3 linked regions of the Elephas maximus indicus genome follow. The protein of the gene in region 1 interacts with the protein of each later gene in a pairwise test. Links are inferred from orthologs where the notes say so. Each region holds a gene or a part of one and is shown in the gene's direction. Other genes may lie near its edges.

Region 1 (9,341 bases):
CTGAAGGTCTCTCCCATCCCCAAGATTCTTTTATTTTATGACAAAACCATAGTTCTAGAAGCTTGTCTCTCACAACTTAAAAGACTAGATCTAGGACATGACCCTGTAGAACAGAAGAGGTAAGTCTGACGAATCTGGACACAGGGGGTCTGGAGGGTGAAAAGAAGAGGTTGACTGCTCATGGGTGGTGCTAGGGTTAGGGTCTGGGAGAGATTAGTTCAAAGCAAGGAGATTCAAAGAGGAAATGAGCCTGTTTAGAGTGGCGAGGATAGTCAGAAGAGGTAGGTGACAACAACCACGAAATTTTTCCCTGGGAAGTAGACTTATATGTAAGAAATGAGTGTTGTGGTTCTGTTAAGGATACATTCCCAAAGCTTCTGCATAATTTAAAACATGCATAATTCAAGACTAATTTTCTTACGGGAATAAATGGAAAGCAGGAGTATATGTTCTCCAGAGCTCATAAGTTCTCTAACTATTGTAGCAAAGTTTTGCTTTAATACTGCTCTTTATTTATCATTATTACTACTAAAGGGTCCAGAGTTTTGGTTCCTAAATTCACAGCATGATATATCAAGGCAGTTGTTTTAAGTTCTTGATAATGTTTTATCACGTCTAACTTGTATTCCAGAATTATTGATTTTGGGGCATATTTCCCCAGCACTAGCATCATCATTTAATGAATGCCTGAATGACATTGTTCTAGGGCCATTTAAAAAAAAAAAATCACAACAGCAAAAATAACATAGCAACACAATAAGTAAAATCACTGACGGAAGTGCCTTAGTTTGAAACAACCTAGTTCAGGGCACTGACAAAAGATTAGAAGAATTTCTGTTTCATTAGTTAGTGCTGCCAAGTAGCAAGAGCATATATATAGTTCATAACTCATAAGTCTGAAGTCATTATTTTACTATTTTTTAAAAATCTGGGCAATATATTATTTCACATTTTGCCTACAACATGTAATATTTTTATATAACACTATTTCTAACTCTGTAGCCAACTATACTACATAAATGTGGCCTCTTGGGTAAGAGAGAGGAAGATAAAGACAGATGAAAGAGAAATTATTTTGAACTGATACATCTCTTATTCCTGTGTTTTTGGGGGAAAGTCATCTCAGGAACTGCTCCTAAAGCCATTCTCTTTCTCCTGTGTCATTTCTGTGTCCTCCTCTACTGAATCATTCACATGAATAATGTCAGTAGTGTGCCCGTAAGTGTTTAACATTTGGCTCTCTTGGAAAAAAAAAGCCCTAAATTGCAGCAGTTGCTTATTTCCGTGGTGTAAATACTCCTACCCTGTCCAATCTCAAGGAACCAACGTGATATCAGCAAACACAGAGTTTAGAAGAGATGTGCACAGCTGGCTCTCAGAAGTTGGCATGAACCAGCTCCAACACACCACTGAAAGTGTTTTCAAACGTCTAGTCATGACCCATTAGTGGGTCTTGAAGACATTTTAGTGCGTTGTAAGCAGCATTTTAAAAAATGAAAAGTAGAGTGCTTTATGCATAATAAGTACTATTTTGTGAAATTTTTGTTTCAGTAATTTTAAGCATGCATGTAACAAATCACAACAGTAAATGTAGTTCTTATTGTGGAGCACTTGGGAAAAAGTCTGAAAGCTACAGCTGTAGCATCTGCTCTCTTTAAAACCAAAACAAAGATACACACACACACAAAACACAAGAAAAACAAATTCTTCCCTTTGCCCCGCTGCCTCCTCAGCTATGACGCTGTTGCTCTGTTCCTCTGCACAGCAAACTTCTTGAAATATATATAACTATCTCCACAACTTCCTCACCTCACAGTTTTCAACACACTTCAGAGTCAGAATCACCAATGATCTTCCTGTTGCTAAATTCCCTGATACGCCTGTGTTCCTTGATCTCTCAGGAGCATTTGACACAACTGGCTGCTCCTTCTTTTTCAAACACTTTCTGTGGCTTCTATGACCCCACTCTTAGGGGTTTTTCATCCTGCCTCCATGGGTGCCCCTTGTCAGTCTCTTCATTGGCTCTCTCCTTGATTTATCTCCCCAGGACTCCATCCTATGTCCTCTTCTCTCCATCTATCTACTCTCCTAGGTGACCTCAGCACATCTCATGACTTCATATCATTTTCCCCTCAGCTTCAGCCATACTGGTGGCCTGTCTGTTCCCCGAACACAGTAGATATATTCTCAAGAATCTTAGGGACTTCACATTAGCTGTTATCTCAGCCTGGAAGATCTTCATATGACCACCTCCTTTCTTTTGTTTACTAGCAGCTTAAACACCACCTCCTCAGAGAGGTTTTCCCTGGCACCCAACTGAAGTAGCCACCCAGGTGCTCCCTATTACATCGTTCTCTTTTAATCTTCTCCAAAACAAATCACTATTGGATGTGTGTTTGTTATGTCTCCCCTGCTGGAATGTAAGCTCCATTGAAGCAAGAAGAGTCAAAACTCCCCACCCTCATGGAGCTTACAGTCTGGTGGATGAAGACAAATCAAAAAGGTGAATTATATAGGATGTTAGAATATAACAAGTGCCACAGAGAAAAATAAGGTAAGGAAAATAGGGAATGAGTGTTTTGGGGGAGAGGGGTGTTTACAATTTTAAATACGGTGATCAGGAACGGCCTCGCTGAGGATTGATATTTCATGAAGACCTGCAGGAGGCAAAGGAAACATAAAATGCAAAGGTGCTGAGGTGGGAGTATGGCAGGCATGTTCTAAGAATAGCAAGGAGGCAGGTGTGGTTGCAGAATAAGACAGGAAGAAAACACTAGGAATGAAGTCACAGTGTGCAAGGGTGATGCTCAGAACATGAAGAAGTACTCTTGGAAGGATTGGATCTCTTCTTCAAGGATGAGCAAAAGCCAGTGAATATGTGTTGTCATGATCTCTCTGGCTGCTCTGTTGAGAACAGATGACAAAGGGGGAGGGGCAAAAGCAGAGACTAATTAGGAGGCTATTGCACTTGTTCAAGTAAGAGATATGAGACTTCCATATCTTTCTCTTCTCTCCATTTAGAAGAGACCCACAGAGCAAGTACTACAAAGCCCTTTGCATACTTGTATAATCACTCTGCTTTGTCACAGTGAGCATTCAGTACATATTTGTTGATTTTAAATGATATAAAAAAACACACTGGGCTCATTGAACAAAGCAGTGATCAATGAGGGGTATTTCTAGGAACAAATTCTCAGGATTCCTGGAAATTTTAATCCAGAATTATTTTGTGAACACTGAGCTTTTGGCCCTTTTACTCAATCCCATTTGCAACTAATTACCACTTACCAAAGAAATAAAGCGTTGATTTCAATTTACTTTGACTTCGTAAAAGTATTAGACCCAGGCAAAATAGTGAAGATTTAATCGCTCCTCACTTTATCAATAAATATTCAGTTAAATCATATGAAAGTACCATTTTTGAAGAACAAAAAGCTTGAATATCAACAGTTTTGTAGTTCAATCTGGAAACCCTGGTGGCGTAGTGGTTAAGTGCTACGGTTGCTAACCAAGAGGTTGGCAGTTCAAATCTGCCAGGCGCTCCTTGGAAACTCTGTGGGGCAGTTCTACTCTGTCCTATAGGGTTGCCATGAGTCGGAATCCACTCAACAGCATTGGGTTTGGTTTTCTTTGGTTATAGTCCAATCTAATATTCACAGTGTCTACTTCACGCAAAGCATTACACTAGTCATTGAGGAATGTGTAAGACAAGTTCCTTTTCTCCACTTACACTAGAGTTGGACAGATAAAATATGCACAGAAAGATAAATTCAAGGCAGTGTATGTCAAATGTTAAACACAGTTATTTAAGTTGGATCTTGAAAAGTCAATCAAACTTGGAAAATGGAAACAAAGGGGAGAGAAAAATAGTTGTGACTTAGAACTTGAATTTGCTAGTGCGGGATTTGTACTGAATTCCTAAATTAAAAAAAAAAAAAAAGCAAGAGAGAAGAAAGTGCATGGGTGCCACCAAAACATGTCTTTCAAAACGAATGTGGATAAAAGTAGATACAAGTAGGAAGATGAGGACTTTGTGGTCCCTGATAGAAAACTGAAAGCTGCCAACCAACTCTTCAAAGTATAAAGTCATTAAAAGTAGCCTACATAACTTTATTTGTATTCCTGATGTTTTTACAGCCCAACAGGTTCATCAGTCATGTGGGCCCTACTGAGAAATAATTTTGGTCAGGTATTTATTGAGGTAGGAGGCCCAGTGGTGCAATGGTTAAGCGACTGGCTGCTAAGTGAAAGTTCTGAGTGGAGCAAACGGCCTCCACTTGACTACTAACCTACAGATTCGTGGTTCAAACTCACCCAGTGACGCTGCGTAAGCCAGACCTGGCAATTTGTTTCCTAAAGATTTCTGCCTAGAAAACACCATGGAGCAGTTCTACTCTGTAGCACATGGGGTCGCCATGAGTCAGAACAGAGTTTGGTTTGATATACATACTTGGAATTGGGCTCTATACGGCTTACATTGTTCCACAGGGAAGTGTACGACTTATTTAAAAAAGAACAGCACACAAAGTAATTGGCAAATAATCCACAGTGGCTGGAAGTACAATAAAGATAACCATCTAGGTGGGGGCTTTGGGCTTGACACACAGGCTGGCTGCACTCAACCTATTTCTTCACCATGTGCCCTACATCCAAGGGTGTGTACCCGGAAAGAGAGGCGCGCCTCCACAGCGAGTTATCTTTTATGGCACTGCCTAGGCTCTGATCCAACGCTTGTGAGGAAGCAATCTTTAAAAAACACCTGACACTGACCCCGTCGCCCTGGCGACCTCGGAAGGCCAGAGAGGAGGACACGTGGGGGCCCCTCTCTGCTGTCGCTGGTCAAGGCCAATGCCGTGCGACCTGGGCACCAGCCCTGAGCGGCCCCGGCCCTAAGCGCCCCCTTCCTAGGCTCGGCGTCTGGAAACAGCAGGGTGGGCGGGAACGAACTTCCCTTGCGACGACAGCGCCGGGGCAGTCAGGTCTGCCCGGGAATTTTCTCCGCACACACGTTTATCCTCATCCGTCTTGTTGGTCCCGCAGCGAGCCGGCCCCGGTCCAAGTCCCCGGCGGCTGCGCAGAAGGCAGGGTGCCGGTCAGCAGCCCCGGCTGGCGTTCCCGGAGGCCAGCGCCGGCCACGCGGACGCCCGTGCACGCAGACGCCAGGCCGACGGCGGCGCCCCGGCGCGGGAACGGGAAGTGGAGGCGGACTGATCCCTTTCACTTCCCGTAGGCGCCCGGCACGCCGGGAGCGATCGGAACCTGGACGACGCCCGCGGCCAGACCAGCCCCGCTCCCCTCTGCGGGAGCGCCTAGGACGCGGGTCCCGGGGTGAGTCGGCGGCGGCTGGGCCCCTCGGGCGGCAGCAGTCGCCACAGACGGGACCGCTCGGGCTGGACGTGCCAGCCTGGGAGGGGACGCGGACGTCGCTCTTCCTACATCAGTTTGGTGGGTGCGACAGTGTCAGGTCTCCCGGTCTCCCCGGTCCTCTCGGGGCCGAGTCGGGCATGGGTCGCCGGGGGAGGGGGCTGCCTCTGCGAGCGAGGCGCTCCTGGGGTTGAGAAGTGCCTGGGAGTCGTCCGTTTGCCGTCCCGGACAGTCCTGCCTGGCACCGGGCTGTTGGCATCGGTGGCGCGCCTCGCGGCCACCCTACTTCTTCCCACTCGTGCTTTCTGCTCACCTCTTCCCAGGATTGTTTTCTCCCAGCCCGAAAGCAACGGGCCACCTCCCCACGGAGACATCGGGAAGTTTTCATCCCGGTATTTTTAATGACAGTTCCTTTAAAATGTAATGACAGACCTACATTGTTTTCCCTGACTTTAAACACACACTTCAAGATGCCGAGTCATTTTGCTGCAATAACAAACAACGAAACGGGAACTCGTTTGAATTCCTTCCATCATCGGTAAAGCATAAATGATGGCTTTCTTATGAAGTGAACAGAAATGTAAATAGCGGCAGGACCCGTTGATCGGGGAGTGATTGGTTTAATGCAAATTTTAGGGTTTTTTTTTTATGAGTCGGAACAACTCGACGGCAGGGGGTTTGAGTTTTTTTGTTTGCTTTGATGGCTTAAATTGCTCTGGTCACTACTTGAAGTATCGATTTGGCTATAATAAGGCAACTCTGTATTCATTCCGTTTGCTCTTGTTTGTGCTTTCTGAATTTTACAGAGCAGAACGGTTTGAGGTTTTGACTGACATTTTAAGTTAACGACACAGATTGGGGTCCATTAGGTGGGAAACCAAGACGGATGCAGTTTTCTTCTTTACAGAGACAGAGCAATAGATTTGGCCAGTAGGACAGATTGTACAGTATAATGGCAGACTTCTTGGAAGTAGAATGTAGAAAACCTTAGTTTTATTTCCTCTTTAGGTCTGCTTAAAGTCCTCAAGTCTCCCCTGGAGCTATAAAATGTAGTACCAGTGGATGTTATCTTTAAAAATGCCTTATGTTCCCTCTTCTCCTCTTCCCACCCTTTTCTTTAGCAACAGCCAAAAAATGTATCTTAGTAGCATTCAAGGGATTGGGATTTTTTTTTTTTTTTACCTTGACTTGAATAATTTGGTGGAGGGAGAATAATTCTTTCTATTAATAATAATAATAGCTAACGCTTGTATAGCATTTACTATTCCACTGTTTTACAAACTCATTTAATCCTCAAAACAAATCTGTGAGGAGAATACTATTATTATTCCCATTTCACAGACCAGAAAAGAGAAGTTAAATGAATACCTCTGATAATGGTATATGACTGTTTGGTTAGTATTTGCTATTGTTTTCATTTGAGTCCCTGGTTGATGCGAATGGTTAAGTACTGGGCTACTAACTGAAAGGTTGCCATTTTAACCCACCCAGGGCCATCTTGGAAAAAAATCACCCTGCCTGGTGATCTGCATCTGAAAGGTCACACTTCATGAAAACCCTGTGGAGGGCAGTTGTTCTACTCTGACACACATGGGGTTGCCCTGAGCCAGAATCGATAAATGGAAAGGAAAAAAAAAAAAAAGGAATTAGTTTAGTATTTTTTTACAATACATTCCATGTTAGAAATTTTCTATTGATTTATTTTTAAATCAGTATTTGCTCCACTCATATTCCAAGATTATTTAGTATGTAAGTACACCAGATAAGAATTGGGGTAAGATCTTTGATTTTAATAGTGTCTTGTTATATGGTAAATATCAGTAACATAACTTACAATTTAAATTAAAAAAGCAATTATGAAGAAAAATTATGCATGCTTATTTTTCTTTCTCTCTATTTTGATATTACCCAGGGAAAGTACCTCAATCTGGGAAGCCTTAAATGAAACTTATTTAAAATCACAGATCATATACCAAAGAGAGACCCCAGTCAACAATAAGGTGGAAAAGAATGATGTCCTTAAACAGTCTGCAAAATGTCATCTATAAGCCGGTAACTGACTTTCATAAAATCACTTTTTACCTGTGGCAGGCATGAGAGCAAATCGAATTGAATAGTAATTATCCGTAGTGGGCACGAGGGGCAAGGATAAAACTCAGTAAACATGTATGAAGTGCCTACTATGCAATAGGGACTATGGTGGGTGCTGAGTAAAAAATGGATGTGGCTCTTGTGCTAGTCTAATGGAGGAAAAGGACACAATTACAGTAAAAGGCGATGGGCCTCATGAACAGAGTGTGTGGGAGTACAGTGGCGGAGAGGCCAACCTTGGAAAGGGAGTGGGAGTGGGAAAGAAGAGGTTCAGATTACCTTCAGATAACCGTAAAACAATTTCCAAAGGAAGGTGATTTCTTTCTTTACAGAGTTGTCATTTTTCTTCTTAATTAGAACTTACCATTAGATGTTAATATGTCAGCTTTTCCATTGCCATTCACTGCTTGGTATTTGACCAGGCAGTGTCAAAAGCTAGAAGTGGGATGGAGAATGAGAAGAACTGGGGTCTCGTCAAGGTCTCAGGCTGCTCCAAGAACTCTTCAGTGACTGTAGTTGCTGGATATTTCAGTGTGTGCCCTGGGCAGTAAATAACTTGTTTTATGTGGTGATGAGAATCTTTAGAAACGTCTAGTTTCTATTATCTGATGCTAAGTCCTGAGTAGAGTTCTGAGATAAGGCAGCTGCTTTTTTGGGAAAACCCCATAGAGACTCCTGGGCAACAGGAATGGTTAGAACCCTTGAAGTAAGGCCCTAAACCAGTCTTGTGAGTAGGGTAAGGGCCAGGGGGTTAATCTTTTTTGTTTCTTACTTTGTAGCTCTAATTCTTTTTTCCCTAAATGTTAATGTCATTGTACAAGGGTAAGGTTCAAGCATTGTAACAGGCAAAATCAATGTTAAAAGAAATCCTCTTCAATGGTAATAAGTTAAAAAAGGAAGACTTAATGAATTTGAAGTCAGTGAGACAGTTAAAATGGATTTAATGCATCTTAGAGTTAAAAACATCTCAAGGTTGTAGACTGAATTTCTTCAAATATTTAAATTCAAAAAAAGAAAGAGGGCTGCCTGTCAGGAGGGTGAATGTATGGTAGAATTACGCTGGTCAGTTCTGCCCTTCATGTACAAAGACACCTTATTTGAATATTATTTAGAAAACGATTTTATGTATTAAAATCCCTGTATCTTGGTACTAGCATACTGCTGGTTCTTGTAATTTCTGCAGTTAGCCCCCTAACTGTAGAGTTGAAACAAAAATGAACAGACTTTCATTTCCTGATGAAGGAGGTCTGGAGAAGTAGTATGGCTTTAGAGCAGTAGATAACAGGGCTTCCAACCGGTTCATTCCAGTTTGAACCCCTGCTGAGAATTTGCATTTCTAACAAGTTCCTGGGAAGTTCTACATAAAAATCACCTGAAGATCTTGTAAAAATGTAGATTATGATTCAGTATATCTGCGGTAAAAATGCAGCATCTCAGCAGGGAACTTGTTAGGAATGTAAATTATCAGCAGGAGTTCGAATCCAGCGAACCAGTTTGAAGCCCTGGTGGATACATTTAGGCTCCAAATGGACTCCTTGCTGTTCATGATAACAAGTTGGGTTTTTTTTGCCCCTAAATTTTATTTATTGTTGTTGTTGAGAATATACACAGCAAAACACACACCAGTTCAATCATTTCCATATGTACAATTTAATGATATTAATTATATTATTCAAGTTCTGCAACCGTTCTCACCCTCTTTTTCTGAGTTGTTCCTCCCCCATTAACATAAACTTACTGCCTGCTAAGGTTCCTATTTAATCTTTCAAGTTGCCTTATCACTTTGATCCCAGTAGATCTTAAAAGAGCATAATGCTCAAGGCAGGCCTTTACTAGTCGAGCTAAACTATTACTTGGTTTTAAGATGACATCAGGGGATATTTTTG
Region 2 (9,923 bases), on another chromosome or scaffold:
GTTTGGGAGCCTATGGTAAGGAGTTAGGCTCCAGAACAACACTTGGCAGACTCGGCTGAGAGGAGTGCAAGGGTGGAAAGCAGCGGTCCACAGTTCTTGACAAAATCCTTTTTTCTTTCCTTCCTTCCTTCTTCCCTCCCTCTCTTCTCTTTCAAGCATCTACAATCTGGCAAACCCTGGCCCCGGGACTCAAAACGGGTGAGACGTGGCAGGCAGGCCCTTGGTCGAGGACAGGATGCTTTCTAACAGCAGCTGCCTATGGGAAGCATCTGCTGGACAAGTGAGACCTCCAGCCCCGGGGGGCTTTGATTGTCTTTCTGGAGACCTTCCTCTCCTCAGGGCCCTCTCTGGAAACCCTGCCACCACCTGGTTGTCCTGCCAACCTTCCCACAGCCGCCTTTCTGCAGCCTGGCCAGCCAGGCTTCCAATGAGTTATACACAGAGTTTGGGCGCACACTGCCTGTTTCTGACAGACACTGCCCTCCCTCCACGACGCCAGAAGTTTTTCCACAGCCTTGGAGAGGGGCTTTGACTGAGGGCTGGGGGCCCTGGGCTCCGTTTCCTTCACATTCCAGCTGGCCCGGATCCCTCTGTGGCCACAGGGCACTGCTCCCTCACCCTGCCCTCTGGGTGACTGTGGGGGCAGACAGACCTCCATGTGGCCAGTGTGGGGTTGGGAGAACTTTACAAACATTAGGACCTAACACTGTCTCATTGCTGAAATAAGAGGCCATAGCACCGAAAAGCAGTGTGGGCGCTGGCTGAGGCTTTTCCTAGCCCATGGGTGGCAGTGTGCCACCATCTCAAAGCCATCCCCCCACCCCCAGCCATTGTGAGCATCCCGGCGGCACCATCATTGTCTTGACCAGCGGGCTCCTCGTCAGTACCCTGGGGATTTCTTTTGATTTCGAGAACAGCCTTAATCATTCCAGCTTGATTTACATGTATACCTCATAAACATTTTTCTTTTGTTTTTCTTTCTCCTCTTTCTTTATCTCTCTTTGCTCACCCCCTTGCCCCTCTCCTCCACCTCCACCTTGTGACTGATGGTTTGGTTTCCTCTCTGCTCTGCCCCTGCTAAGCACAGGGAGATACTGAGTTAGAAGCAATAGTGGGCAGCAGGCCACCAAGAGCACAACCCCAGGGCGAGGTCTAGGGAGGCCCCTTAGCCCGCCTCTGTTTACTGTGCAATTCTAGTCCTTCTTAAGCCATCACCAGTGGGCATGCTCAGAGCAGAGGGGCCAGGGCTTCTGCCAGCCAAGGGAAGGGCCCGGAGCCCTGTGTGCGGAAGCGTGGTGCCGTCCATCTACCTGGTGGGCTGGGCGAATTCCTCCCAAGGGCCCTTTCCCAGGGGGACTCCCTTCATCTTGGGGACAGCCACAAGTCTCTAATGTTCTATGCAATGAAATATAAACCCTCAAAGACAACTGTTAATATTTAATAAATTCCATGTTATGTATAAGGATTTAATTGCAAACATGCAATTGAGAAACTGGATGGATACGCTCATATCACTCCCCAGCCCCCACCCTGACTCCCACCGTGTGTGTGAAGTTCTCAGTCTGTGGCATGTTTGACCTGTGGCAGGACTTGCTGCTGCCAGGTGAGTCACCGCCTGTCCCACAGTGGAGCATGCACAGCTTGCAGCCTCTTTGCACGATTTCATCCATTTTAAATGCTTGACCCTCTTGCTTGGAGTTCTTTTTGCCTCAGAACTTTTCCTTCAGGAGTTATTCTAGCTAACTTCTGCACGAGCTAGTGAGGACCTGCTGGAATTGCTGCCTGAGCTTGCCAAGCTGTGAAGCAGGCAGTTCGAGGCCTCATACACCCCTGCAGGTCTCTCTGACCAAGAAGGGCAGGTGAGAAGGAATCTCTGGAGTTGGCACCCCAGCAGGAGCCCGCACAGGATGCATGTGTGTGAGTGTTCTAAAAGCGTGCTGTAGGATTTCTATCTGTATCTGGTTGCTCCTCCTGCCCCAGCCCTGAGCCAGGGGCATCTGGTTGTACCTTCACAGTGGGGCAGAGCTGGGCTGCATCTGCGGACAGAGGGGTGGCAGCCATGGGCAGGGCCTAGCTGTGTCCTAGGAACCCAGTTCCCGATTGCACCTGCACCGTGCCAATGCCCCTGAGGTTGGGAGGCTCAAAAATCTTTGAGCCAGGAGATCTGGGCTGGGGTCAAGGGGCCAAAGGGTGTTCAGGAAAAGCCGGGCCTTTGGTGATTGTTTCGAGGACAGCTGACAGTGTCATCTGGGACCAGAGCAGGTGAGCTGTTCACATACACAATGGCTTCAAGCTGAATTTCCTGGGAAGCATCTCAATGACAAAACTCACAGAAGGTCCTGTGTGACCCTCTCTGTATCAGTCCCTAGGACCTATCATCCCTGCCTACCCTATCTCTGAAGCTGTAGTGTTCCACTGCTTGTTAGATTCTCTGACACTGAGCCAGGAGTGCAGCAGGCAGTAGCTGCCTGACTCCTTGCAGCCTGGCCTTCCTCCAGAGTGCTCTGGTTTGCACCATGCATTTCTCAGGGGTCCATATTTCTCATGCTTTCCTATAAGGTCTACATGCCCCCTCAGAAAGGGATCCTGGCCTACTTCTGGCAGCTGTAGGTGGGTCCCAAGGCTGCCAACCTTGGTGGTGGACTGAGACCCTGGCCTCATGGGATTGGGCCTCATTCAACCATGGGGCGTTAGGCCTGGACCATCTGAAGCCAGCTGAGCAAGGGCTGAGGGGGACCACCATCGAGCATCTCTGAACACCCAAGTTCAGGTCTGTGTGGGGACATGCCTAGTGGGCTGGATACTTGGAGGACCAAGGCAGTAGCCCTTTATTTTAAAGGCCAGGGGATAAGATCAGGAGCAGGGAACAGCAGGCGAGATGGCAGCAGAGCAGCCTCCAGCATGCCAGGTCTCAGGCTCTGAAGTGTTGAGTTCTCAGCAAATTTCCTTCCTGGCCAAGCCCTCTGAGTTTGAAATTTCTGACATCTGTCACACTCCCACTCTCACCCTCCACTCTACTCACAGGACACGTTATTGCCCCTTTGTGAGGGTGGCTAGAGCAGGCCTCTGGGCCACGGGTATTCTGGCCCTTGTGTGGATACAGCTGTGGCTCCAGGGCCACTGCAGCCAGAGGCTGAGGGACCAGCATTTGGTGCCTGGGGCAGTGGGGAACAACAGGTGTATCTCCAAACGGGCAGGGGGTCTCTGGGATGTGGGCCAGGCTTTTGCCATACCCTCCCCAGCATCACAAGCAAGGGCATTTCTTCTGCCCACATCCAGGCCCAAGGTACTCACTTTACAGCCAGCCCCTGCCTCCAGCCCTTGGGCAAAGTGTGCGGTCTCAGCGCCACTATGAGAGGGCAGCAGAGGCAGCAACTATGGCCTATCTTCTGAAGCCTGTGGGGGATTTTTCCAGGTCTTTGCCATGGCAATACAGTCCTGCCCTGCTGGCCCCTCCCCTGCTCCCTTACCCACTGCCCCCTCATGCTGTAAATACTCATCAGCATAGACTTTGTCAGGGTCAGAGGGATAGGCTTAATCCACTGAAACTCCCTGGAGATGCCATCTCTGTCTCCCTGGGTACCAGCAGCCCTGCTGCCATGTGCACTGGGGTGGCATTGGAGAGCCATGGAAGTCATGAGACATTGTGTGTGCACGTGAACATGTGTGTGAGTGTGTGTGTGTGTGTGTGTGTGTGTGTCTGCCTCCTTTAGCCTCTGGGATCAAACCAGCTCCTTCTCTCCAAGTGCAGTGCCCGGAGAGTAGTGGCAGCCCAATGCCTTTCCCCTGCTAGCTTCCATGTCTTGTTTTTGCTTCCCCCTCCTTCCTCCCTGCCTCCCTTTCTTTCCTTCTCTCCTTTATTTGAGGGGGGAAGAGTGCTGTACAAAGTCAAACAAACAAGTTTACAGTTGTAAGTGCAATGACCCGAGTCCTTCACATGACCTTGTGAATTGTGTGCCGTCCTCCTGTGCTCTGTGAGAACTCGTGGTACTTCAGTGTCCCTCCCCCTGTATCGTGACATGGTAATTCTGTGGTATCAGAATAAAAGGACTTGATATAAACAACCTGCAGACTGTCTCCAGGGTGGTTTCTGAAATGGAAAGGCTTACTATTCTTAAGTGAGGGGGCTTTGAGACTGAGGAGAAAGTCCCCAAATTTGTGATAGTCCTGTCTGTTCAAGGCTAAAAGGAAAAGAGTGAAGGGCAAAGTTGCAGAAGTACCAGCTGCGTCCATACCAAACTGTCCAGACAGTGTGCCTCCATGAAGGCACCCAAGGAAGGTCCCAAGCTTGGACCTGCACAAGTCATTGCAGAACAATGCCTCCATTGCCTGTAGGTATCCAGGCTATTTCACACTGCTTCACAGGGCCAGGGCTTAGAGAGGCAGGTGAGTAGGTGCTGCCCCCTGGTGCTGCCAACAAGCTCTACACCTGTCTTCCCTCCAGTTCTGGCTCTGCCCACTCCAACCCTCAGACTCTAAGTCCAGACCTAAGTCCATCCCCAGACAGACGGGCGTACCTCCTTACCAGAGTTGCTAAAAAAATTTTTAAGTGCACACAAGCAAAAAGAATACCAGCCTCACCTCAGGCCCACCCCCCTCAGCTCATATTTTAATTCCTGTCCTTCCTTTCCTGTTTGTATTCCTATTTCATTTTTAAGAAGCAGCAGGAAGGTGCAGCCCCCATTTGTTTCTAGATGCTTATTCCAGGTACTTTACATGTTCATCCTTAAATCCCCAGACTCCAGAGAGATGCACAGTGAGCTTATAGGCAGTCCACTGCATACACTCTGAGGGACAGGCACCATGTTCCCGGTTTTCCTATTCTGAACAGAACTGTGATGAACATCCCAGTTTCCAACCTTTCCGCCCAGGTTGGTGGCCCAGGCCACTTTTTCTGCTCCCAGGTCCTGGTCTTTTGGGGACACAGCCCTGCCCACTTTGGGTGCTTATAAATGCAAGTGACCTCAGAAAGTGGGGACTGTTTTTACTTAGCCAATCCAATGTGGTTGATGAGGAAGGGGAAACCGAAGGCCAGGCGAGTGAGAGCTCAGTCAAAGGCAAGGTGTGGCACAGGTAATGCAGAGGCGTGGAAGGCCAGCCAGGCTTCGAGGAGATGGAGAGTACATTCCTGCTAGCCTGACTGCTGCCTGGCCTCTGCTGGGGCTTTTCCCAGACCTCCACTGTCCCAGTAGCCCACTCAATCCTGCACCATGTTCAGGACTTCTTGGCCTTCCCAGGCTCTTCTTTCCACAGTAAGCTCCCTGGTTCTTGATGCCGTTTGTCCTTACGAGGTCCTATGTATCCAAGAGCCTGGACTGAGGCCTGGGGAGGCAGGCAAAGCTCCACTCGCTCACCATCCCAGCGAGGCACCACTGAGAGGGGCAGGTGAGGGCTGCGGGAACAGATAGCTCTTGGGGCAGGCCTGGTGGCCGATAAACCCAGGCGACATCGGGAAAACTTGGCAACCGCCCCTCTTTCCCTTGCACCCTGGGCTCTGCTCTTCGAGCCCCGCCCAGAGCTGACGAGCGCCCTCCTCTCCCCGTCTGCCTGGGAGCCGCGCCCAGAAAATGCTTGCCAGACCCAGGAGCCGCGGGAGACCCATCCTGGGGCGGGCCTTGGCCCGCCCCGCCCCGTGGCCCCGCCCCTCCACCAATCGGTGTCGTTGATGGCCTTCCTCACAGCCCGCAGTTCCCGCCCCACCCCGTCCCCGGCCCCGCCCCTCACCCTGAAGCGTTCTTCGATGGCTGCCCTCACAGACCTCAGCTTCTGCCCCTCATGCTCAAAGATTCATTGGTCCGCATTCCTTTGCACCCAGCCCTTTGGCTGCGCAGAGTCACTGCCGGTCCGACCTCGCTTCTTTCGCCTCACAGCCTTGTCCTAAGGGCTCAGCGCCTGCTCGCGTAGGCCCTCTCACGTAGGCCCTTTCACTCTTCACAGATCTGTCCCTTCCTGGCCCGCCCCCATGTTCTCCTTCCTCAGGGCCAACCCCTCTCCTCGGAAGTCCCACACACTCCCCTCCCAGTAACAGGCCTGGGACCCGGCCCACAAATCCCGCCTCTCACCAGCCTGATCCTCCCCTAAAAGGGCCCGCTTCTTTCCTCGCTGTCCCCGCCCGCTCCCCTCCAGCTCTCCTGACTCACCCCGCTTCCTTAGCATAAAGGCCTCGCCCCTCGGTCAACGGTCCACGCCCTTTGGCTGAAGGCCCCGCCCTCCCAGGTCGCCGCCGAGGTCTGTGGCGGAAACTGGCTGCGCCCCAGGCTCCGCCCCTCTAAGTCGCACTTCCGGGTGCCTGCGCTCCCCGCCTGTCCCGGGCGGCCAAGTAGCAATTATGGAGCGGCAGGTGAGGGCTCGGCCCGCGGTCCCCGTGGTCCCCGCAGCCCGGACCGGGCCTGACCCTGGTGTGTCCCCTGCGCAGGTGCTGCTGAACGAGCCCGAAGAGGCGGCGGCGCTGTACCGGGGCCTTAGCCGCCAGCCCGCGCTGAGCGCCGCCTGCCTGGGCCCGGAGGTCACCACGCAGTACGGGGGCCTCTACCGGACGGTGCACACTGGTGTGTGTGTGGAGGGGAATCAGGGTGGCGGGCCCACTCCAGCACCGTGCACTGGGTTGGAGAGAACGGGAATGTGGAGGGCTGGCTACCTGAAGGTGTACACGGATGTCGGAGGAAGGTGGGGTTTGGGGGGGTGTGGGGATGGAGGAGTGTAGAAATAGGAAGGTATTACTGGTCTGTGTACACAGGTGTATGGGGAGTGTGTACTGAGCCGATATTAGATGGGGCCCATGAATGCATGGGGTGAGGCCACTAGAGTGTGCACAAGGGTTGTGGAGTAGAACTCTGACCTGGGTGTAGGGTGTGGGCCTTGTAGGGCCCTCCACCCTCCCATACACATGGGGCATGGGTGCACCTGGAGCCTCCATCTGGGGCAGCCAGGCTACCCTCAGGATCCAGGGTGGGTTCTGGGGGCAGTAGAGGGTTCTCTCCAAGAGAGGCCTGCACCCAGGGTATGTGGAGACAGATGAGGGGATGTGGAGCTGGGCTTTCCTGGGTGAGGGGCTGTGGAAGGGACTGTCCAGGTTGGGCAGCGTCAGGCCTCCCCTTGCAGAATGGACCCAGAGGGACCTTGAACGTATGGAGAACATCCGATTCTGCCGTCAGTATCTGGTGTTCCACGACGGGGACTCAGTGGTGTTTGCAGGGCCTGCAGGCAGCAGCGTGGAGACCCGGGGGGAGTAAGTGCAAGGGAGGAAGCTTGTGGACAAGGCCACAGCCATCTGCAAGCCTTTTGTGAATGCCCACCATGTGCCCCAGTACAGGCAAGGTGTTGAAGAGAGGCCAGGAGCCAGGTTCATGCCCCTGGGGAGTTCATTTGGCCTCTGGTGACATGGCCTGATAAGCACTGGAGGCTTGCTCCAAACCCCTAGCTGGTCTAGAGCCTACGGGTGTGGGAGAGGCCGGAGTGGGTAGAGCCCCTGCCCCAGGGAGGAGAGGCAAGGCCAGCTGCCATGGTGGGGCTGGGCCAGGGGGCGGGGGGGTTGTGTGCAGGGGCTGGTGTGAGGCCAAAGCTTCAAGAATCTTGTCTAAGAGCTTGTGGCTAGTGAGGGGCCTGGGCAGGGCTGTTGGTGGGTGGGAGACAATCCCAACCTGATGCCCCATGTTCTCAGACTGCTGAGCAGAGAATCTCCATCAGGTGCCATGAAAGCTGTGCTGCGTAAGGCTGGAGGCACAAGCCCTGGGGAAGAGAAGCAGTTCCTGGAAGTGAGTCTGCATGGTGCCAGGGGGCGGGCGGCTGGGGGCTCAGCCCCACAGATAAGGCTCTGTTGGAGGTGGGGCAGCCTGACGCCCAAATATTCTCAGGTCTGGGAGAAGAACCGGAAGCTTAAGAGCTTCAACTTGTCAGCACTGGAGAAACATGGGCCCGTGTACGAGGATGGTGAGGCATCTGGTTGGTGAGCAGGCCAGGTAGGCAGGAGGGGCAGCCAGAGCCCTGGGCTCCCCCTGATTGGCCCTTCGTACACCCAGACTGCTTTGGCTGCCTGTCCTGGTCGCACTCGGAGACACACTTATTGTATGTGGCAGAGAAGAAGCGCCCCAAGACTGAGTCCTTCTTTCAGAGCAAAGCCTTGGACGTCAGTGCCAGTGATGATGAAATGGCTAGGCTGAAGAAGCCAGACCAGGCCATCAAGGTGCTCATGGCCGTGGCCAGTCCCTGCAGGCCCTGCAGTGCAGCCCCGGGGCTCAGTGTGCTCCCTGCCCAAACCACCTGTCAGAACAGGGGATGCACTGGCTTCTGCAGGCAGGGCAGGGCCTTGCAGACAGGCCTGGCCACTAAGTATCTCGTATTCTCAGGGGGATCAGTTTGTGTTTTATGAAGACTGGGGAGAAAACATGGTTTCCAAAAGCACCCCTGTGCTCTGTGTGCTGGATGTTGAGAGTGGCAACATCTCTGTGCTTGAGGGGGTTCCTGAAAATGTGTCCCCTGGACAGGTCAGTGCCAACTTGGTCCACGTCACTCCTGGAGCCTGGGGGCCCTACCTGAGCTACTCCCCCTTGCTCACACCTGTCCTGTGGTCTTGTTTACAGGCATTCTGGGCTCCTGGAGACACAGGTGTAGTGTTCGTGGGCTGGTGGCATGAGCCCTTCCGACTGGGTGTCCGCTTCTGCACCAATCGCAGGTGAGAAAGTGGGGCAGGGCAGGGGGCCCTGCAGCCCAGGCTGGTCTTGAAGCTGAGTATCTCTCTGGCGGTTCCAGGTCAGCCTTGTACTATGTGGACCTCGCTGAGGGGAAGTGTGGTAAGTGAGTGGTGCCCGCGTGTGCTTTCCTGACGCACTCTGGCCTTGCCAGCCCATCGATACTGTTTCCATCTGGCCCAGAACTCCTCTCGGATGACTCCCTGGCTGTCTCTTCTCCCCGGCTGAGCCCAGACCAGTGTCGCATTGTCTACCTTAAGTACCCATCTCTGGTCCCCCATCATCAGTGTAGCCAGCTGTGCCTGGTAAGCTGGAGTTTGGGGTCGGGGGTGGGCATTGGACAGCAAGAGGAGAGGATGGAGGATGAGAGCTGAAGGGCCAGCATCATCTCCACATGGGCCCCACTGGATGCCCTCCTGTCCTGGTGCATGTCGATGTGAGTTCCGCCTGCGCTCTCCGGGTAGGGGCTAGGGGCTGAGAGCATTGGCATGGGGAATTTGCACCATCAGGGCTCACCACCTCGAGACCATCTTCTGTTTGTAGAAATGCCCCTCCCATTGATTTCTCATCTGCACATGACCAGGCTGTGTGCAAGGGGTTGGGATATAGTGGGGAGTTACTGACACACGGGAGTTGCAATAATCAGCTCAATGGCAGTGGCTGGTATAGAGTCCCAGTCCCCTGCCCAAGAAAAGCTCCAGGTCCCTGGTGAAAGTCAGAGGTATCTGCCTAGCTGAGCCCCTCTGGGCATCTTGTCCAGGTCACCAGAACGGAGGTGCATCAGATTCGGTTCACTCAAGTATCAGGTCCTCCCCTTCTTCCCCTGAGACTACCAGAGATGGGGACTGATGGCAGAGCTCTGTGCCCTGAGGGCAGTACCCATCCTCTGGTGTCCCTGACCATTGTACTCTCTCGCAGTATGACTGGTACACCAAGGTCACTTCGGTGGTGGTGGACATCGTGCCTCGGCAGCTGGGAGGTAAGGGGTACGTGGTTGGATGGGGGCAGTGGAGCCCGTGGCTCTGTATTTCCCTCCCATCTGTTTCTTCCCTGTTCCGGGCCAGTGCCCCAGCTGTTCCATCCTGGGATCTTTCCGAGGTTCCTCCCTCCCTTTTGGGCCAACTCCATGTCCAGCCTCCACAGGGAGTGGGGTCATCACCACAGGGAACAGTTCCTATGGAAGGGAGTTGGCTGGACCAAAGCTGAGATCAGAGGGATCCAAGCTGCTGGAGATTT
Region 3 (10,268 bases), on another chromosome or scaffold:
TCTTCTCAGTAAGATAGGGAAGAAAGGTTTAGACAATATTTATGTTACAGTGACTTCTGAGTTGTGTGAGGTACAAAGAACACTGTTAGGGGCCAGGTGGGGCAAAGGTCTTATTAAATATAAACTTTTGCAGGCTATTTCTTAATATCATAATTTATAGTTTCTCTCTTCAATACTGCCAGAAACTCCCCAAGAGGGTCAACTGTAACTTAAAAATTTTTGTTTAATATTTCCAGACACAACTTTTAAGTGGTAAAATACATGATGACTACAGAAGCTGCGACATATGTTTGTTACAGGAAATTGCACTTAATCTGCAAGATAGAAAGTCAAGAGAGTTTAGGGTATTGGAAATAATGTAAATGAAATGATAATCCACAGACTCTATGCTGGATGATGAGGGAAGTATCAAAAGGAGAAACCTTAATGGATTAGACACCCTGATGAGTTTGAAAAATATCTATAGTTAGCATAGTTGAATAAGCAAATTAGTTGAATAGGAGGTGTTGTCTAAGAGCAGGATGCTTCATTTTGAAGATGGAGCAGTTATGGGTGATAACAAGGTCTAATCTATGACCTTATGTATTAGTTCCCTAGACCTACTTTAGCAAAATACCACAAACAGTTCTGGAGGCTGCAAGTCTGAAATCAAGGTACCAGCAGGGCCATATTCCCTCTGAAGGTTCTAGGGAAGAATCCTTCCTTGCCTCTTTCTGGCTTCTTGTGTCTTTGGCAAGCCTTTGCATTCCTTAGCTTGGAAGTGTATTGCTCCAATCTTTCTCTCTGGTTGCACATGGCTTTCTTCTCTATGTGTTTCTGCATCTATGTCTGAATCTCTCTCTCCTTTTTCTTATAAAGACACCAGTCATTGGATTTAGGATGCACCCTAATCCAGTATGACCTCATCTTAACTAATTACACCTTTAAAGACCCTGTTTTCAAATAAGGTCACATTCTGAGGTTCTAGGTGGACATGAATTTTTGGAGGACACAATTCATCCCAGGCCATCATGGAAATAGGTGTCTGGAGTAGAGGGGAGGAGATGAGGGATTGAAGACATTAAAAGGCCAAGGTGAAGGAAATTAGGGAAACAATTCCATCTACAATAGTGTCTAAGAGAATAAAATACCTAGGAATAAATCTAAACAGGGATGTGAAGAACTTATATAATTAAAACTATAAAACACTGCTGAAAGAGATAAAAGAAAATTTAAATAAATGGAAAGATCTTCCATGTTCATGGATCGGAAGACTTAATGTTGTTAAGATTTCAATACTACCCAAAGCAATCTATAGATTCAATGCAATCCTGATCAAAATTCCAGCAGCCTTCTTTACAGAAATGGAAAAATCAATTCTCAACTTTATATGGAATGGCAAGAGGCCTGAAGAGTCAAAGTAAAGTTGAAAGAGAAGAACAAAGCAGGAGGACTCACACTTCTTGATTTTAAAAGCTATAGTAATCAAAACAGCCTGGTACTGGTATAACATTAGACATACAGACCAATGGAATAGAACTGAGAGCCCAGAAACAAACACACACATCCATGGTCAACTGACTTTTGACAAGGGTGCTGGGAAAATTGGATTTCCGCATGCAGAAAAATGAAACAGGATCCATGCCTCGTGCCATACACAAAAACAAATTCAAAATGGATTAAGGAACTAAATGTGCCAACTAAAACCATATAATTCTTAGAAGAACCAGCAGGGCAATGCTGTCAGGCCTAGCTTTTAACAATGGATTATCTAATACAATAACAAAAGCACAAACAGCAAAAGACAAAATAAATGGGACGTCATAAAAACTAAAAACTTTTGTTCATCAAAAGCCTTTACCAAAAAAGTAAAAAGACAACCTACCAACTGTGAGAATATCTTTGGAAATCATACCTCCAACAAGAACCTAACAACCAAAATACAAATAAAACTTCCACAACTTAACAACAAAAAGACAAACAAGCCAATCATCAAGTGGGCAAAGGACCTGAACAGACATCTCACCAAAGAGGGCATTAAAATGGCCACCAAACACATGAAAAGATGCTCAATGTCATTAGCCATCAGAGAGAAGCAAATCAAAACCACAGTGAGATACCACTTCACTCCTATGGCTTAAGATTAAAAGACAAATACAAAAACAAACAGAAAACAACAAATGTTGGTGAGGATGTGGGGAAATTGGAACCCTTACCCATTGCTGGTGGGAATGCAAAATGGTACAGCCGTTGTGGAAAGTAGTATGGCAGTTTCTCTAAAAGTACAACAACTATATGATCCAGCAATTCCACTCCTAGGTATATAGCCAAAAGACTTGAAAGCAGGGACTCAAACAGGGACTTGTACACCAATGTTCATTGCAGCACTATTCATAATAGCCAAAAGGTGGGCACATTCTAAATGCCCAGCAACAGCTGAATGGATAAACAAAATGGGGTACTGTACATACATACACTGGAATACTACTCAGCCAGTAGGAGAAATGAAGTCTTGATACACACTACAATATGAATGGAGCTGGAAGACAATATGCTGAGTGAAATAAGTCAATCAAAAAAGAGCAAATATTTTATGACCTCAGTTACATAAAATGACAAGAAAACACAAATATATAGAGAACAAAGTTTATTAGTGGTTACCAGGGTCCGGAGAGGGGGAGAAGAGGGTGTTAACAGTGATGGAAATACAGAGTTAAGGGTAGAGTTGCACAGCCATTACCGTAATTGCTGTCAATAAGTTGTACACCTGTAAAAAGTTGCATTGTCAAAAGTTGTGTAAGATATTTACAACAAGGATAAAAAATAGAGTAGCTGCTGAGGTGGAGTATGTACAACAAAACACCTCATGGGATTTGGTTTCTTGGTTTGGAGGTTTAGGGTCATGGTTTCATGGGACACCCCAGTTAATTGGTCTAATAACATGTTTACTGCCTCTATTCTACCTCCTAGTTTGTTTCATAGTGCCCAGGGTCTTAAAAGCTTGCTAGAAGCCATTCAAGGTGCAACAACTGGTCTCTATTCTCCTGGAACAACAGGGGAAGAGGAGGAGTCAGCAACAGTAGGAGGGTATGGAATGTGAGGCTAATAGCCTCCATGAACAACTGTCTCCTTTGCCATGAGACCAGAAGAACTGGATGGTGCCTAGTTACCATTACCTAACATTTTGATCAAAACGGGGAAAACACAAAACAGAATTTCGATTCTGATGGACTCCAGACTTCCTGGAGCCATGAAGGTTGGATGAACCCCTGAAACTATTGCTCTGAGGTAATCTTTAAGCCATAAACCAAAAACATTCCCTCAAGTCTTCTTACAACCCTACAACAGTTTAGCTTAATTAGTAAAAAATGCCTGCCTTGGGCATTATGCTCTTTTAAGAACTATGTATATGGGATCAATTTGACAACAGCAACTTGAAAGATGAGATAGGAACCTTAGGGGACAGTGAATTTATGTTAAAAGGGGAGAAACAACTCAGAAAAGGAAAGTGAGAATGGTTCCTCAACTTGAAGAATGTAATCAGTGTCACTAAATGGTACATGTAGAAACTGTTGAATCGGTGTATGTTTTGTTGTGTATATTCTCAACAACAAAAACAAAATAAATATATTAAAAAAAATAAGCCAAGATGTTGGAACTCTCATCCACGTAGACACTGAAGGGCTTAGAATGGAAACCAAGTCTGGGGAATAGGTGATAATATTCAGTGAAAGAGGAAGAGTGACTTGGAGATCAGCAAACAACAAGGAGGAGAGAGGGTGGCGTAGCTGAGTGATGTGCACCTCAAAGGAGCAAAGTTTTTTTTTATAAATATGTGGGAGAATAATAGTCAGGAAGCAATAAGGAGGAAGGAGTACATCAATGCCATCTCCTAACACATCGGGTATGAGAAAATAAACCACCTTATTGTAGAGTGTTCTGAGTCCTCTCTTTTCTTTCACTAGCCAAAGCCCACCATTATTCAAATCCCATCTTTAACAGCTCTATTTCCTAAACAAAGTTATGTTGTTGTGGTTAGTTGCCCTCCAGTCCGTTCTGACTCATGCGTGCAGAGTGGAACCGCCCTATAGGGTTTTCAAGACTATGACCTTTCAGAAGCAGGTTGCCAGGACTGTCTTCTGCAGTACCTCTGGGTGGGTTCAAATCACCAATTTTTTGGCTAGTAGTCAAAAGAAAACCTTAATACAAACACTAAGGAAAACCAGTGTTCTAAAGGGTGAGACAACTCATTTTGCCTGGTTTTTAAAACCTGCAATGACATTTCTTTATCACGCCTATTTGAACTTGGTTCTAATTTTCAACCCATGCTGAACTACAGTATTGTCCCATTTAAACAAACAAACAAAAAAACCAAACCCGGTGCCATCGAGTCAATTCCGACTCATAGTGACCCTACAGGACAGAGTAGAACTGCCCCACAAGGTTTCCAAGGAGCGCCTGGTGGATTTGAACTGCCGACCTTTTGGTTAGCAGTCATAGCTCTAAACCACTATGCCACCGGGGTTTTTATAGTATAGTTTTTATAGGCTATTATAGTAAGGGAACATATATAATAGTCAAAAGTGATAAATGAAATTGCAATTCAACAGAAAACGAAGGGCAACATTCGCACCCGCAAAGTAACAACCCCAACCTTAAAATAATACAGGTAACAATTCACAGAAATGCGATTGTGAAGAAACCAGTTCTGGAGTGAGACCAAATAGAATCACAGAACATTATTAGAACAGAAGAGCTTCTCAGAGAAACTGAGGATTTACAGTGATCGTAGTTAAAAAGGGACAAGACTGACTAGGAGTTAGGAGAGAGCGTTGGATTTTAGAAGTTGTAGCCCTATCCTTGTGGTCGCTCCCTTCGCTTCTGCTGTGTGCAGCTAGTCCATTCCAACTCATACAAAATCCAAATCCATTGCGGCGGAGTCAATTCCTACTCATAGTCAATCCTATGCGACAGAGCAGAACTGCCCATAGGGTTTATGAGGCTGTAAATCTTTACGGGAGCAGATGGCCAGGTCTTTTTTCTCCTGTGGAGCGGCTGGTGGGTTGGAACCACTGACCTTTCGGTTAGCAGTCAAGCGCTTAACCACTGCGCCACCAGGGCTCCTTCCTTTGGTTCTATTTCCTTATCTATAAGATGAGTGGATTAGTTTAGACAGATTTTTAAGATCCAGGCAGTGGCATGGTAATTGTCCATGTGCTACTTCGCTACCTTTTTTTTTTTTTTTTTAACTTTTATTGAGCTTCAAGTGAACGTTTACAAATCAAGTCAGACTGTCACATATAAGTTTATATACACCTTACTCCGTACTCCCACTTGCTCTCCCCCTAATGAGTCAGTCCTTCCAGTCTCTCCTTTCGTGACAATTCTGCCAGCTTCCAACTCTCTCTATCCTCCCATCACTTCGCTACCTTTTATCGCACTGGTTAAGTTACTTAACTTTTCCGTGTGTTTCCCCATTTTGTAGGTCAAAATAACAATTAAAAAAAAAAAAAACAAATCCAAACGAACAGGGCCTGTTTTGCTGGAACTAGGTGTCTGAGTGAAAATTGCCAGGTAGAAAGAAAGGGGAAAAAGCAGCGGGCCGGAGAAATGCGCGCAGTTACCTGGGCCGCAGGCTTTGAATCGCCTACTTTGGGGCAGGTGGGGAGTCGCGGAGCCCCAAGCGGCGGCGGCGGCGGAAGGGACAGCCCTATGGGCGGAAGTGACGCGACGCTGGCTCCCGGCCCTGAGGGGAGGTCTCGGAAGGAGTTCGGCAGTTGATGGCGTCTCGGGATCGGAAGCCTTTCTGACGCTCCCCCGTTGGCCGGGAGCCCCTCACTGGGTAAGGCGCCTTCCCAGGTCTGCTCCAGCGCCCTTGGCGGGGCGGGCCCCAGTGGGAGCTCTTCTTGGGGACCGTGATACGTCCCTCAGTCCCCGGAGTCTAGGGCCCTGGCCGGTCCGGGGAATATTCTCCGTGGTGACGATGCTGGCAAATGACTATGCTTTTCTTCCCGAGGAGAAACCATTCCTGCCGGACTGCTATTGTGACGGGAAGTGGAGCAGTTTCGGTTAGCTGTGGAGCTGGAAAAGCCATAAGTGGCCGCTCCACACGGAACAGGCCTTAGAGATTTTGCGGAGGCGTGTGGGACGTGGACCCTTGGGCGGGGGGCGAGCGACGCGTGTGACTCAGCCCGGAGGAGGAAAAAAAATCTTGTCAGAACGCTAGGGTGACTGTTGTGAGGGCAGCGTGTGCGCTCCTGGCGACGGCAAGCTGGGGAAGACATCTAGGTGGAGCCCGGAAAGGAGGCTCGGCCTCGCCTCTGCGGAGGAAAAGCGAGCTGTTTGGGTCGAGTCGCCGGGTGGGTGAGGAGGCGGAGACTCCTTGCGCCGCCCACATTTTAGGGCCGCCGGCGGAGTTAGCCGCTCAGGTACGACCTTGTTTATTTACCTGGGCTGCAGAATCAAGAAACTGATTTTTGTGAGGTGTTTAGAAATAGCCCCTCCCCTTAGTACTCACAGGGATTTTTTAATTTTTTTAATTTTCCGAGAAGAGTCACGTTTTTCTTGGCTTAGTCAAAAGTTTCTTGATTTCACCCCTCCTTCCTCCGCCTCCCCCCGCAGGTAGTGAACGTGTCCAGACAGGAGCTCTTGCAGTCTCTCTCAGGAGTTTCCCTGGCCTAGGATTAGAGCTTACAGAGCTTATCTGGGGGTGGGGTGGAGGAGGGGTGGGGGAGTGGACTGGAGGTAGGGGGGCGGTGGTGTTGGCGGCGTTTTGTGTCACTTTATTGGTAAATAAAGTATTACACCTTGCGGTTGTAAAAGAGGGCTCATTGCCTTCAAAGTGGTTTTTCGGTATAAAGAGCTGAGGCCAGACTTTATCGTTCTGTTCTTGGGGTGGATTTGATTCCTTGAAGGATTTTTTTTTTTTTACTCTAGAAATGACTTACTTTTTTTTTTTTTTGGCAATGTGATCGTCAGACTTCAAAGAACATTCTGTTGTAGTTTTAATTTTCTAGTCATCACATTCTTACACTGTTTACAACTATGGCTGCCGCAATTTGTGTAGAATTGGGGTTGCTATGAGTCGGAATTACGCGAGGCAGCGGGTTTAGGTTTTTTTGTTGTCGTTTAGAGGTCTGTAAACCAGTTGATAGTCTTTGAGCTAAAGCATGAATAATCAGAAACTTTCAAAACGTCAAAAAATTTTTTTTATCCTTCAGATGTTTGTATGCCCCATAAGGACTGAATTTGGAGGTAATTTTAAGAGTTCATAATTTTGTTGTTGTTGTTAGTTGCCATCTGGTCGATTCTGACACATGACGACCCCGTGTATGTAGAGAAATGCTCAATAGATTTTCAAGGGTGTGACTTTTTGAAGCAGATCGCCAGGCCTGTCTTCCCAGGTGCCTCTGGATGGGTTCAAACCACCAACCTTTTGGCTAGTAGTCCCATTGCTTAGCTATTTGTGCCACCCAAGGACTCCAAGGGTTCGTATTTTTTTTAATCCAAGATTTTTTAAACTTACACTAACTTTGTTGGTGGTTATCTGAATTACGACACTCAGAGCACACAAAACATTCGTGGTCTAGAATGCACTGTTTCTATGGTAGTACATCATACATGGAGTTTTTAGTACTAATCTGCTTTATTTATTTGCTTTTAGTAACGCTTGTAGAGATGGTAAAATGAAGCAATATTTTGCTAATCTTGGTTTATTATCTTTGTTCTCTTCTAACACAGTTATTTATCCCACTGTAATTTTTAAAGCAAATTTAAGACATCAGTATTTCACTTATAATTAGTTTAGCATTTCTGATACTTTAAAAAACACCACCATAATCACATTATTACCCTTAACAAAGTTACCTTATTTCCTTCTGAATTCTGTTAGAGCTGGTAGATTATTATCTAAATTAAAAAGCTTAGTTCAGTTCTGTATGTTTTCTCCACAGAAGTACTCAGTGGGTCTTTTTTCTACTTCAGTTGACTAAGGTTCATATTTTTGGATTAGTCAAGTAAAATGAATACCAGGAGCCATTGAAAGATACCGCAAAAGCCAGATTTATTTGAGGCTTGAAAAAGTTGCAAGAGGAGGGAGTAAAGATAACCTTGAAATGCCTTTTTTTTACCCCCCCCCAGAGAGTCCTTGGGTAGCCCAAATTTATTGTAGCTAAATTTTTTTTTTTAGATACTTAACCCAGTGCCCACTGGATGTTATTTATCTTTTCTTTAGCCACTGATGAATTCCCAAAATAACAAAATTGGATATTAGACCAAAAACTTTATATGTAGTCTACAGTATAACACACATAAAGGAATTCTAGTGGTATTAGGACTTTAAGGAATATAGTTGAAAACCTGGAAGAGATGAGGTACTGCAGCCAGCATGTGTATGCATTTCAGAATTTGTTTCCTAGTCAAATGTATCTGTCTCTTTAATTCTTGGCAGGAAAATTTTTACTTATCCTTGGCTTAATATACCCATGTTTCTAGAGATGTACTTTAGAGGGTGGAAAGCAAAATTTGTTATGGTAAAGCTGCTTCCATTTCCCTTTGTGTGTAGGGCTGTGTTTCCTTTCCAACTGAGGCAGTTTGTAGTTTTTTTCTCAGCTACACTTCCCAATCATTACCACAAGGTGATGCAGTGACTTTGCACATTACTTTTTCACCGGGCCCTGTGTTTGTGTGCGTGCCTGTAGGTAGTGTTTAAATCTGCGTGTGAATTTTCTTGATATCTTGGCATTCTCAGTGTATTTCAACTTTTTTATAAGCTTTCCCATCTCTTCACTCCTTATCTGTGGGAAGAGTGAATCAGAGGAACTGTGGGGGATTAGACTTTTTATTTCACTATTTAAAATGGGTAATTATATTCAGATTGCATTCATCTATGTTAACATTTTTATGACTAGAAGCTATCTTGGAACTTAATGAAAAGAAAAAACCAAAGTAATGAGAGTGGAAAAACTTTTGTAAAATACATAATTATGGTCTCATTGAACTTTATAAAAAGATTGGATTGCTGAAGGGGGATTGTTGTTACATGCTGTTAAGTTGGTTCCTACTCATAGTTACCTGTGTACAACAGAACGAAACACTGCCTGGCCCTGTAAAAAAAATGCCATCCTCAAAATCGTTGTTATGCTTGAGCCCATTGTTGCAGCCACTGTGTCAGTCCATCTCGCAGAGGGTCTTTTATTTTTCTGCTGACCCAGTGCTTTACCAAGCATGATATCTACCTCCAGGAACTGATGGCTCCTGATAACAGATCCACAGTATGAGAGACATAGTCTCTCATCCTTGCTTCTATGGAGCATTGTGGCTGTACTTCTAAGATAGTACTAATAGAAGTTGGTTCAACTGATTTAGCTACAATATCATTGGTATCTTGTAACTAATAATGAACATTTTTTAAAAAGAACTGGAGTGCATGGCTTTTTTTTCTTCCTTGTTAAACCACTGACTTGAAAGGAGATTATCATTAATGACTTCCTAAGTATCGTGACATCTCCTTGAGCCCAGATTAGCAGAGACAACTCAAAGAAACAAAACTCTTCAGTTATTTCAAGCACAGTTCCTCATTTCTTTGCCAAGTGTTGTTGCTTTCCTGAAGGCTTCAGGTTACCAGGTGGGGAGGATTAACAATTAAGCTCTTCTGTGAAATAGGGTTATTGATAATAAAGCCCCTTTGTTAGTGGGCAGAGGTTAAGGAGTATTGCATCCTGGCAAACCTCAGTGGGGAGAGGCTAACAGAGACAACTGGCCTCGTGTTGTACCACATTGACTTCCAGGTTCACTATTTTGACAGTTTATTTATGGAATGTCCAGTATATTGTTGCAGTAAAGCAGTACTTTGACCATAATGGAAGCATCGAGGAGACAGAGGAGAAACAGGAAACAAGAGAAGCGGTTATTTTCTAAAGTGTTGTTTCAAAACTTAAAAAATTTGGCTGAGTATTTCAAACAAGTCAGCAAAAGAAATAGTTGTAAAAGCAAACTGTCTTAGCTCTTTAGCAATGAAGCTTTCATAATGATTGCTAAAATATGAGTAGTCTTACTGCTGTAGTTGCCCTGTAGAAATTTCATTGATTAGTGAAGTAAATTAGATGAATTTGGTTAGCAAAAATCCTGCTGCAGTTTTCTCCATTATTACAGAGATTCTTATTTTGATGACTCAGAGGCAGGTACCATAGGGTTAGTGTCAGAGTTTGTATACTGTCGAATCAGTGATTATGCTGAGTGTGTGACATAGTCTGTAGATTACTTTTATGAGCAAATTCCCAGTTTCCTTT

Evidence for each region.
Region 2: the proteins of LGALS8 (region 1) and APEH interact in binary tests that used the Homo sapiens proteins (3 or more experiments, as listed by UniProt). The two-hybrid records come from large-scale screens. The link is inferred for Elephas maximus indicus from reciprocal best matches to the Homo sapiens genes LGALS8 and APEH.
Region 3: the proteins of LGALS8 (region 1) and TAX1BP1 interact in binary tests that used the Homo sapiens proteins (3 or more experiments, as listed by UniProt). The link is inferred for Elephas maximus indicus from reciprocal best matches to the Homo sapiens genes LGALS8 and TAX1BP1.

Annotation. Positions count from the first base shown.
Region 1 is NC_064842.1:27,838,679-27,848,019, reverse strand, and holds the start of LGALS8 (galectin-8), read left to right. Parts: upstream 1-4,960; 5' UTR 4,961-5,328; exon of another isoform or gene 5,329-5,445; intron 5,446-7,276; 5' UTR 7,277-7,374; coding exon 7,375-7,416; intron 7,417-9,341.
Region 2 is NC_064838.1:54,089,810-54,099,732, forward strand, and holds the start of APEH (acylamino-acid-releasing enzyme), read left to right. Parts: upstream 1-6,236; 5' UTR 6,237-6,328; coding exon 6,329-6,340; intron 6,341-6,415; coding exon 6,416-6,548; intron 6,549-6,556; exon of another isoform or gene 6,557-6,653; coding exon of another isoform or gene 6,654-6,666; intron 6,667-7,101; coding exon 7,102-7,228; intron 7,229-7,660; coding exon 7,661-7,754; intron 7,755-7,853; coding exon 7,854-7,929; intron 7,930-8,018; coding exon 8,019-8,182; intron 8,183-8,345; coding exon 8,346-8,483; intron 8,484-8,579; coding exon 8,580-8,671; intron 8,672-8,748; coding exon 8,749-8,789; intron 8,790-8,870; coding exon 8,871-8,992; intron 8,993-9,605; coding exon 9,606-9,666; intron 9,667-9,923. UniProt on the Homo sapiens protein: This enzyme catalyzes the hydrolysis of the N-terminal peptide bond of an N-acetylated peptide to generate an N-acetylated amino acid and a peptide with a free N-terminus. It preferentially cleaves off Ac-Ala, Ac-Met and Ac-Ser.
Region 3 is NC_064826.1:88,873,187-88,883,454, forward strand, and holds the start of TAX1BP1 (tax1-binding protein 1), read left to right. Parts: upstream 1-5,714; 5' UTR 5,715-5,821; intron 5,822-10,268.